Macaca fascicularis: one gene and its partner. The protein of the gene in region 1 purifies or fractionates together with the protein of each later gene. This does not show direct contact. Links are inferred from orthologs where the notes say so. Each region holds a gene or a part of one and is shown on either strand. Other genes may lie near its edges.

Region 1 (4,439 bases):
CAGTAATATGTACCTTTAATAGACACAGTATGATCATTTAGCACTTGCTATTCAAGGTATCTGGTAGCTAGCAGTTGCTCATGTTACGTAACTGAATTTAGGTCCTCCCACCAGCATAGCAAAGCCAAACACTGACATTGGGGTTTGCAGTGAAAGGGAGGCATTTATTGCATCACACCAACCAAGAAGAATCAGGCAGCTCATGCTTAAGACCCCAACTCCCTGATGGTTTACAGGTAAGAGGTTTTTTGTGTGCTTTTTTTTTTTTTTTTTGAAATGGAGTTTCGCTCTTGTCACCCAGGCTGGAGTGCAATGGCGAGATCTCAGCTCACTGCAACCTCCATCTCCTGATTTCAAGTAATTCATCTGCCTCAGCCTCCTGAGTACAGGCGCCTGCCACCATGCCCAGGAAGTTTTTGTATTTTTAGTAGAGAAGGGGTTTCACAATGTTGGCAGGCTGGTCTCCAACTCCTGGCCTCGGCCTCCCAAAGTGCTGGGATTACAGGCATGAGCCCTTGCACCCAGCACAGGTAAGGGTTTTTAAAGGCAGGGAGGCAGATGTTACAGGCAAAGTCATAAATCAATACATGGAGGCTATACGTGGGTTTGATCTAAAAAGCCAGGATATCTGAAGTAGGGACCCACAGGTCATAAGTGGATTCAAAGATTTTCTGATTTGTAATTGGCTAAGGAGGCAAAGCTTTGAGAATTCTTCCAGGCTCCTCAGGAAGAAATTTAGAACAAAGATAGGTAGTTTGAGATCTCCATGATAGTGGACACCATTTTCCATTTGGTGAGGTCCAGGTTTCTGAAAAACAACTCAGGGACATATGTTGTCTCCAGTTTATATAGGGAAGCAAACATTTTGTGAATCTAACGTCCTTGGCTACTGTCTTAAGCTATTATTACCTTCTTGCTTATCAGGTTGCTCATTGACTTATTGAGGAAGTTAGGTGCCTGGAATGTCCCTTCGGGGAACTCAAGATTTTCCTTTATTTCCATGCTTGGGGAGGGTGGGGGTGGGAGTGCCTAGAAGGCCCCTAAGAGGGGTCCCTGCTGTGTCTCACTCAATAAATATTTGTTGAATGAACAAATCATTACAACTCAGTACACATTGCAGAAAACACAGCCAAGAGCGCTGGAGCTAGAAGGGCCACAGATTATCCTACAGAGCAATCATTTCACTTTTCTAATGTTGAAAGGGAGGATTCAAGATGTTAGGGCTACAGGCAAGCCTGGAAATAATTAATTTACTCCACCATTATTGAATGCCTACTATTGAGTGCTAGACTCTGGGGAGACAATGTTAAGGGAAGCCCAAGTTTTCCAATTCCCTGTTCCGAGCACTGAAAAAGCACTGCAGGAAGCTAAAGTGAGGACAAAGTTCCCGGAGATCAGGATATCTAAAGGGAGAACCAGCAGAGCTTGGTCTTGGGCAGGGTTGGGACAGGAGGGATCCTGGCCTCCTCCGACCGTTTCTCCGCCAAGCCACGCGAGGGCGCCGTTCTGCCCCTAGCGCGCCGTGTCCCGGCGGCGCCGCCGCCTGCTCGCCTTTTCCCGGCGGAAATGCCCGAGCGATGACGGAAACCCGGAGGGAGGGAAGAGAAAGAGCGAGAGAAGGGGAAAGATACCCGGGAGAGGCCGGCAGGCGTGAGGCGGGCCTGAAGCGGTAGCTGGCGGCCTTCGTCCGGCGAGAGCTAGTCCGAGGGCCCGCGCCGCCCTCCCAGCACCTCCCCGCGTCCTTCACCGACTCCTGCGGCGCGCGGCCGGGCGGGGAAGGGCGGGCGGGGGTCTCCTACAGGCCTCGCGCTCGGAGCCGCCTGCTGGGCTTGGGCGGGGCGCGGGGACCGCGGCCGCCCTCCCCGGCTCGGTCCTCCCCTTGTGGGATCTGGCGACGGCGGCTGAGGGAGAGGGGAGCGGCGCCCGGGCCGGGGCCGGGGGCGGGTGGGGAGGGGGGAGGGCAGCGGCCGGGCCGGGGGTCGGGATCCGCATCGGGATCGGGCCGCCATGGACGACAAGGCGTTCACCAAGGAGCTGGACCAGTGGGTCGAGCAGCTGAACGAGTGTAAGCAGCTGAACGAGAACCAAGTGCGGACGCTGTGCGAGAAGGTGAGGGCGCCGCGGGGGCGAGTGCGGGAGCGCGGAACTGGGACGGGCCGCAGCTTTCCTGCCCGCCCCGGCCCGTCCGCACGCTGGCCCCGGGCCCGGCGCGGCCCACCGGGGGCCCGCGGGGCTGTGGGTCCGGCTCCGGCGTCCACCCGGGCGGCCGGCCCAGCCGTTCCGGCCCCGGGGCGTTGGGCTGCCCTCGCCCGGCCCCTCTGCCTCCGCGTGGTACACGCCCCACGCCCCCGGCCCAGATCCTGGTGGTGGGAGGCTCGAGTGCGGGCGGGCGGGCGGGGAACCATAGCCCCCGGAGCCAAGCCGGAGGTTGGTCGGGGTCGCCTGCGCTCCACTGGAGTTCCTGCCACTCTGGCATTTCCCGAGTGGAATAACGAAAGCGACATCCGAAAAAGGACCATTTTCAGACCAGTTTCTGAAAATGCACCTAAAATTAACCAGAATGTCGTGCCTATTAATGAACTTGTTAATAAATGTAGAATTTTTGTCAGGTGAACGGGGCACCTCGGAAATCACTAACTCAAGCCGGGCGCGGTGGCTCACGCCTGTGGTCACAGCTACTCGGGAGGCCGAAGCGGGAGGATTGCTTGAGCCCAGGAGTTAAAGACCAGCCTGGAGCGCAGAAGTTAGAGACCAGTGAGGCCCCGTCTCCACAAAAATTTTTTTTAAAAAATTAGCAGGGCGTGAGGGCGGGTGCCTGTAATCTCAACTATTCAGGAGGCTGAGGTGGGAGGATCGCTTGAGCCCAGGAGGTGGAGGCTGGCTGCAGTGAGCCGAGATCGCGTCACTGCACTCCAGCCTGGGCGACAGAGCGAGACCTTGTCTCAAAAAAAAAAAAAAAAAAAAATCACTGACTCTTGAATGTGTCAAGCGTTTGTTTGTGGAGAGGTAGGCGTGATGGCCAACTGTGATTTTTAAAATAGAGGTTGACTTTGGTGGAAACAGATGGTGACTGGTCTTTGCGTTGAGCGGCTCTTGGAAGTAAAGCGTTGATTCAGAAACGAGAGCTGGTCTTAAGTTTGGGAACAGTGTTTGCTGGAAATAAATGGGATGTGTGTTTTCATGCACGATAACACTTTGCAGAAAGTTATTTTTGTTTTTAATATATATAAAGTTTTTTTCTTTTCCAAAGAATAATAAAACATGCAGGTGATCAATTTCGTTCTTGTACATCGTGTGTGATCTTCACTTTCTGAATTCTGTATCCATTGTTTTCTTAACTCCTGGAATTATTTCGATCTCTCCATCTTTAAAGTCTAGAGTTTTCCAAATTCATCCTTTACAAGGTGGACTAAATAATTTTCATGTATTTTTATGTTAAAAATTCTCACTTGAAGTCCATGAAGAAGTAAAGATGTTATTTTAAGATGTAATGTATACAATTTTCTTAACCATAATGTTTGGAAGTCATGACGTCGCAGAAGTAGGTGAAGAAAAGATTTTGTTAGTCTAATTTTAGGACACTCTTAAAATCATGAAATTTACTTAGGAAAGGAGCACTAATAGATGGTGTTAAGTTAAAATAGTATTTTTAACGGGTGTAATGTTGGCTGGGGCCTTTGTGTATTAAGTAACTGTTAACACAGGAGGATTTATTTTTGTATATAGAAGTGCCAAGCAGGTGGTACTTTTCTCTTTCTGAAACAAACTGCTTACTTGTGACTTCAGTCGACGTTCATTTTTATTGTGATAACCTGTAATTTCATGAGGCTTAAAATGTATGCTTTAAACATCTCTCTCAAGCTCCAATGCCAAGTGAAATGTACAGGTTTGAAATGAGCTGAGTCAGTTAACCTGACTACGAGCATCAGAATACAGACTTGAAGTTAAGGGCAAAGTGTTAGTTGAATCAGTTTTTTCCATTGACTCTTTTTTTTGTTTTATTTTTGTTTTGAGACAGAGTCTCACTCTGTAGCCCAGACTGGAGTGCAGTAGTGCCATCTCTGCTCACTGCAACCTCCACCTCCTGGGTTCAAGGGATCCTCCTGCCTCAGCTTCCCGAGTAACTGGGATTACAGGTACACGCTGCCATGCACTGCTAATTTTTGTATTTTTAGTAGAGATGGGGTTTCGCTTTGTTGGCCAGGCTGGTCTAGAACTCCTGACCTCAAGTGATCCCTCAGCCTCCCAAAGTGCTGGGATTACAGGCACGAGCCTCGTGCACAGTCCCCATTGACTTTCTAATAATTTTAAGGTGAACTCCTAGAGAAGAATATTGTACCACTGCTGTACTTTGAAATAATCACACCGGAGTGTCAACGATCACTTGAGGAAGCTTTCTGTATTTGTCGAGAGATTATTTTTACTTCGGCTCCTAAATA
Region 2 (3,646 bases), on another chromosome or scaffold:
TGATCATCACTCGCTAACTACAATATTTGCTATTTTAAAAATATATTTATATATAGTTCTGGAAATTATGAAGCAAACAAAATATAACACAAAGATGCGTTTGTCACAATTAACTCAAGTTGCAGCAACAGCAGAATTGTGGGAAGGGACGGAGAGAGAGGGCTGCTGCAAATGCAGCAAGTACGTCCTGAAATATGTCACATAGTGCAACAGTCAGATTACCTCAGTTACTCTGCGTCACCGCACACAACGTGACTATGTCACATTGTCACTTTCCACTAAAAAAGAAAAAGACAGTGTTTCTTCTCAGAAGTTGCCCTATGAATTTTAGACATATAGCTTAATTGATTCTCTAAATATGTCTAAAATTTTATTCTTCTCAGTTTGGAATGATCAACATACAAAATTGACATCAAGGAGGAGAGCTGTAAGTGTTCACCTTTCCTCTTGAAGACAGGGTAAGGTGCAAAAAAGGATCCTGGCCTTTCTCATTTCAAATGACTGCATTTCATCCCAATGGGCAGAGATTCTTCATAAACCTGCGATTTTAATGTCTTCTACCTAAAAAGATGAATTAATGGCAAACAAAAGTTTATACTATCAAAAATAAATATAATGCAAAGTGGAAACTAAAGGGCTAAAATGACAAGGGCTAAAAAGGAGAAGATTTGTTAAAAATTTATTTTTTATCACTTTGTTCCAGCATTTTTAAAGTCAGTTGTTTTGTCTTTGGCAGCCTCTGCCAACTTTACAGTGAATCCCCATCAATGTTCTTTAAAAAGAAAAAACAACAAAAAAAAAAAAACAAAAAAAAAACTATTAATTCCATTAAACCACGTTGTGCCTGGTGTTGCATATGACTTTTTTTTTTTTTTTAACTGCTGGTTTTTTGGGGGTTTTTTTGGAATTAACAATGCCAATTTTGTTTTTGTTTTTTTACAAAGTTACCCAGATGACAATATCCATAATTAGCTGACTCTTACATACACACTGTGACCTGATCATCCTGAAAAACTTTATGGGGGAGAAAGGTCAGCAGTTTTTCTTCCTTTTTCTTGAAAATAATAGAACTGCATATTCTACTTTATATTCAAATGTAAGGAAGAAAATATACAAGCCCATATTTATATTGTATTTCTATTAAGAGCAACAATAGTTCAAATGTTCATGTTTGCTACTATCACAATTCAACACATGAACACAGAATCAGCTCTATTCCATGAATACTGCTGGAAGTGATGGTTTAGGATTACCAACTCACTGCTGCCATGTCCATAACAAGCAAAAGCATCCTGGAAATAAACCCCCAAACACATATCTTTCAGTACATAATAATTCAACTGCATTAGGTAAGTACATACTGTACACAAGTTTTATCAGCAGTTTGCCTACCCAAGATGTAAGATTCTTCATTTAAATACAAAGCAGAGAGCCAATAAGATATATATATATATATAATACAGCCCTAGATTTTGTTTTTTTTTTTTTTCTTAAACAATTTGGTCACGATGCACCTTTGATATAAAAGCATTTTTTAAACTTTATTATTAATACTCAGGACATTAGGAATTTCCAGATTTTTTTTCAGTAGCATTTGTAGAACCACTTTTGGTAACAAATACAGTAGTTAGGAATATGCATCCAATTCAGAATGCATAATAATGTTTATCCTGAATCCTTTCCGGCTAAAAACAGGGCTGGCGCTGTGATGAGATATAGAACGAGAATCTACAAAAAACACTGTAACATGTTTGTTTTTTCCCAGAGGCTACATCCTCTTTTGCTGGAATACTTTATAAATACATATTAAAAAGTAAGGCAACAACTCCAAACAGTCCAAGCTGTTTGCTCAACTCTTTTCCCAATTAGATTTGCAATCCTGGCGATCAATTTCATGGTTGTATTGTTTAGTGTTTGTCTTTCTTATTTCAAATGGTCCAAAAGGATGTTTTTCTCGCATTTCTAAAACATCTCTGGTATGTGTGTTCAATGATATATGCAACTAATACTGGTCAGGTACTGAAGTCTGTGATGTCCCAGTGCCTGTTTTCAAAGGATTCAAGACATTGATTTGGATTCACCATAAACTGATGCATGAATCCAATATTCCCTTCCCTACTATGTTTATCACCTCTTCTCTTTTAACTCCTAATTTTAAAACTGAAGGAGTACCAGGACTACCTGCTTACTGGAAAGATGTTCACCCCAGTAAACAGAACTTTTATCAGGGACTTTTATAATTCATGACCCCATTCCACATGGACATTCAACTCAGGAAGATGTGCAAAAGAAAAAGATGTCAAATTACAGTCAAGTTATCCAGAGGAGGATGTTATACAAACTTATAAGGAAATGACAGTCTTTTTTTCTTCCTTTACTATAAATACATTTAACAGCTTAGCAGAAAGACAAGCTAAATTTAAGATTGTTCACATTTGAAAATTGTATCATACTCTCTGCTAGTGATAAATAAGGAACTCCCGATAATGGAATTTTAACATAGCAATTTCATCAACAGATCTTTGAAGACCGATTTTTTTTTTTAAAAGAGGGTTAGAACAATGATTATGTTTGCAAAGTTCTGAGAAGTCCATCTACTGTCCAAACTTTGGATTGAAGTCCTTATTTTGTTTTTTCCTTTACTTAGAGACAGGTATATACAGTGCTGTTGTAATAATGAAACAAATGTGAAATCTACTGTAAAGTTGCACAATACAGAAAACTGTTGCTCCATCTTCTACTACATAAATGTGTGACTCCACAGGTTAGTAATGTCGTTGTCATTGTTTTTGTTAAGTTGGAATTATTCCATCACGTCTAAGACCTCTCTTTAACTCCAGATCCTCCAATTTTTTCCACAATTCTTCACGCTCCTTTTCTTTCTTTTTCTCACTGAGGAAGAAATACAATACAATGTAAACAGCTGAGGTTTAATGAGATTATGCAACAATGAATATTTTACAATTTCACCTTGACACCCCTTTATACTTAGCTTAATTCAGAAAATTAAAACTACTAAGAAACAAAAATGGGAATGACTTATATGCATCAGTTATTGTAAAATTAAGGGCATATTAGTGATTTTCACTTGCAGCTTAGTAAAAATCTTAATTCTTGTTTATCTCCAAATAGTTTACCAAAAAGGATGCTGGAGATGACACTGATACAGAGAATATAGTAGGTCAAGAAAATATATCTGCTCCTTTATTCATATCTATTTTTCCTACCTCATGTACATTTAAATTCTTCAGCAGTTTAGAAGAAACTGAAAACTTGTGATTTCACTTTTAATGATCTGAAAAGAACTTGGTTGATATTATTATGTATTAAATTTTAATGCATCAAGCCTTCAAATTGGGTTCAGTATCAATTTTACTGATTTTAAATTTAGTGATTTTCAGACTTTGGGATTTCACTGTTTGGTAAAATTTCCCCCAAAAATTGGATGTCCAAGTAAGAATCAACAAACTTTATTTTGCCAAGGATATTTTAAAATTACCACATTTTTACAAAAAAAGGATTTTTTAACATCAACCAAGTAGGAAGTACATGATGCAGGAATGTAAGACTATATTCTAAGTTAAATGCATTCACATTTATTAAAAATAATTCACTGCACTGTCTCTGGTTTTTCCATGTTGCAGTG

Evidence for each region. Proteins that work in one complex are often made in the same cells at the same time.
Region 2: the proteins of PPP2CB (region 1) and PPP2R5E purify together in Homo sapiens (affinity purification with mass spectrometry; 5 studies listed by BioGRID and IntAct, counting the BioPlex papers as one, with this or other methods). This does not show direct contact. The link is inferred for Macaca fascicularis from reciprocal best matches to the Homo sapiens genes PPP2CB and PPP2R5E.

Annotation. Positions count from the first base shown.
Region 1 is NC_088382.1:34,024,325-34,028,763, reverse strand, and holds the start of PPP2CB (serine/threonine-protein phosphatase 2A catalytic subunit beta isoform), read left to right. Parts: upstream 1-1,597; 5' UTR 1,598-2,007; coding exon 2,008-2,109; intron 2,110-4,439.
Region 2 is NC_088381.1:131,186,757-131,190,402, forward strand, and holds part of PPP2R5E (serine/threonine-protein phosphatase 2A 56 kDa regulatory subunit epsilon isoform), read right to left. Parts: intron 2,893-3,646; coding exon 2,793-2,892; 3' UTR 1-2,792. UniProt on the Homo sapiens protein: The B regulatory subunit might modulate substrate selectivity and catalytic activity, and might also direct the localization of the catalytic enzyme to a particular subcellular compartment.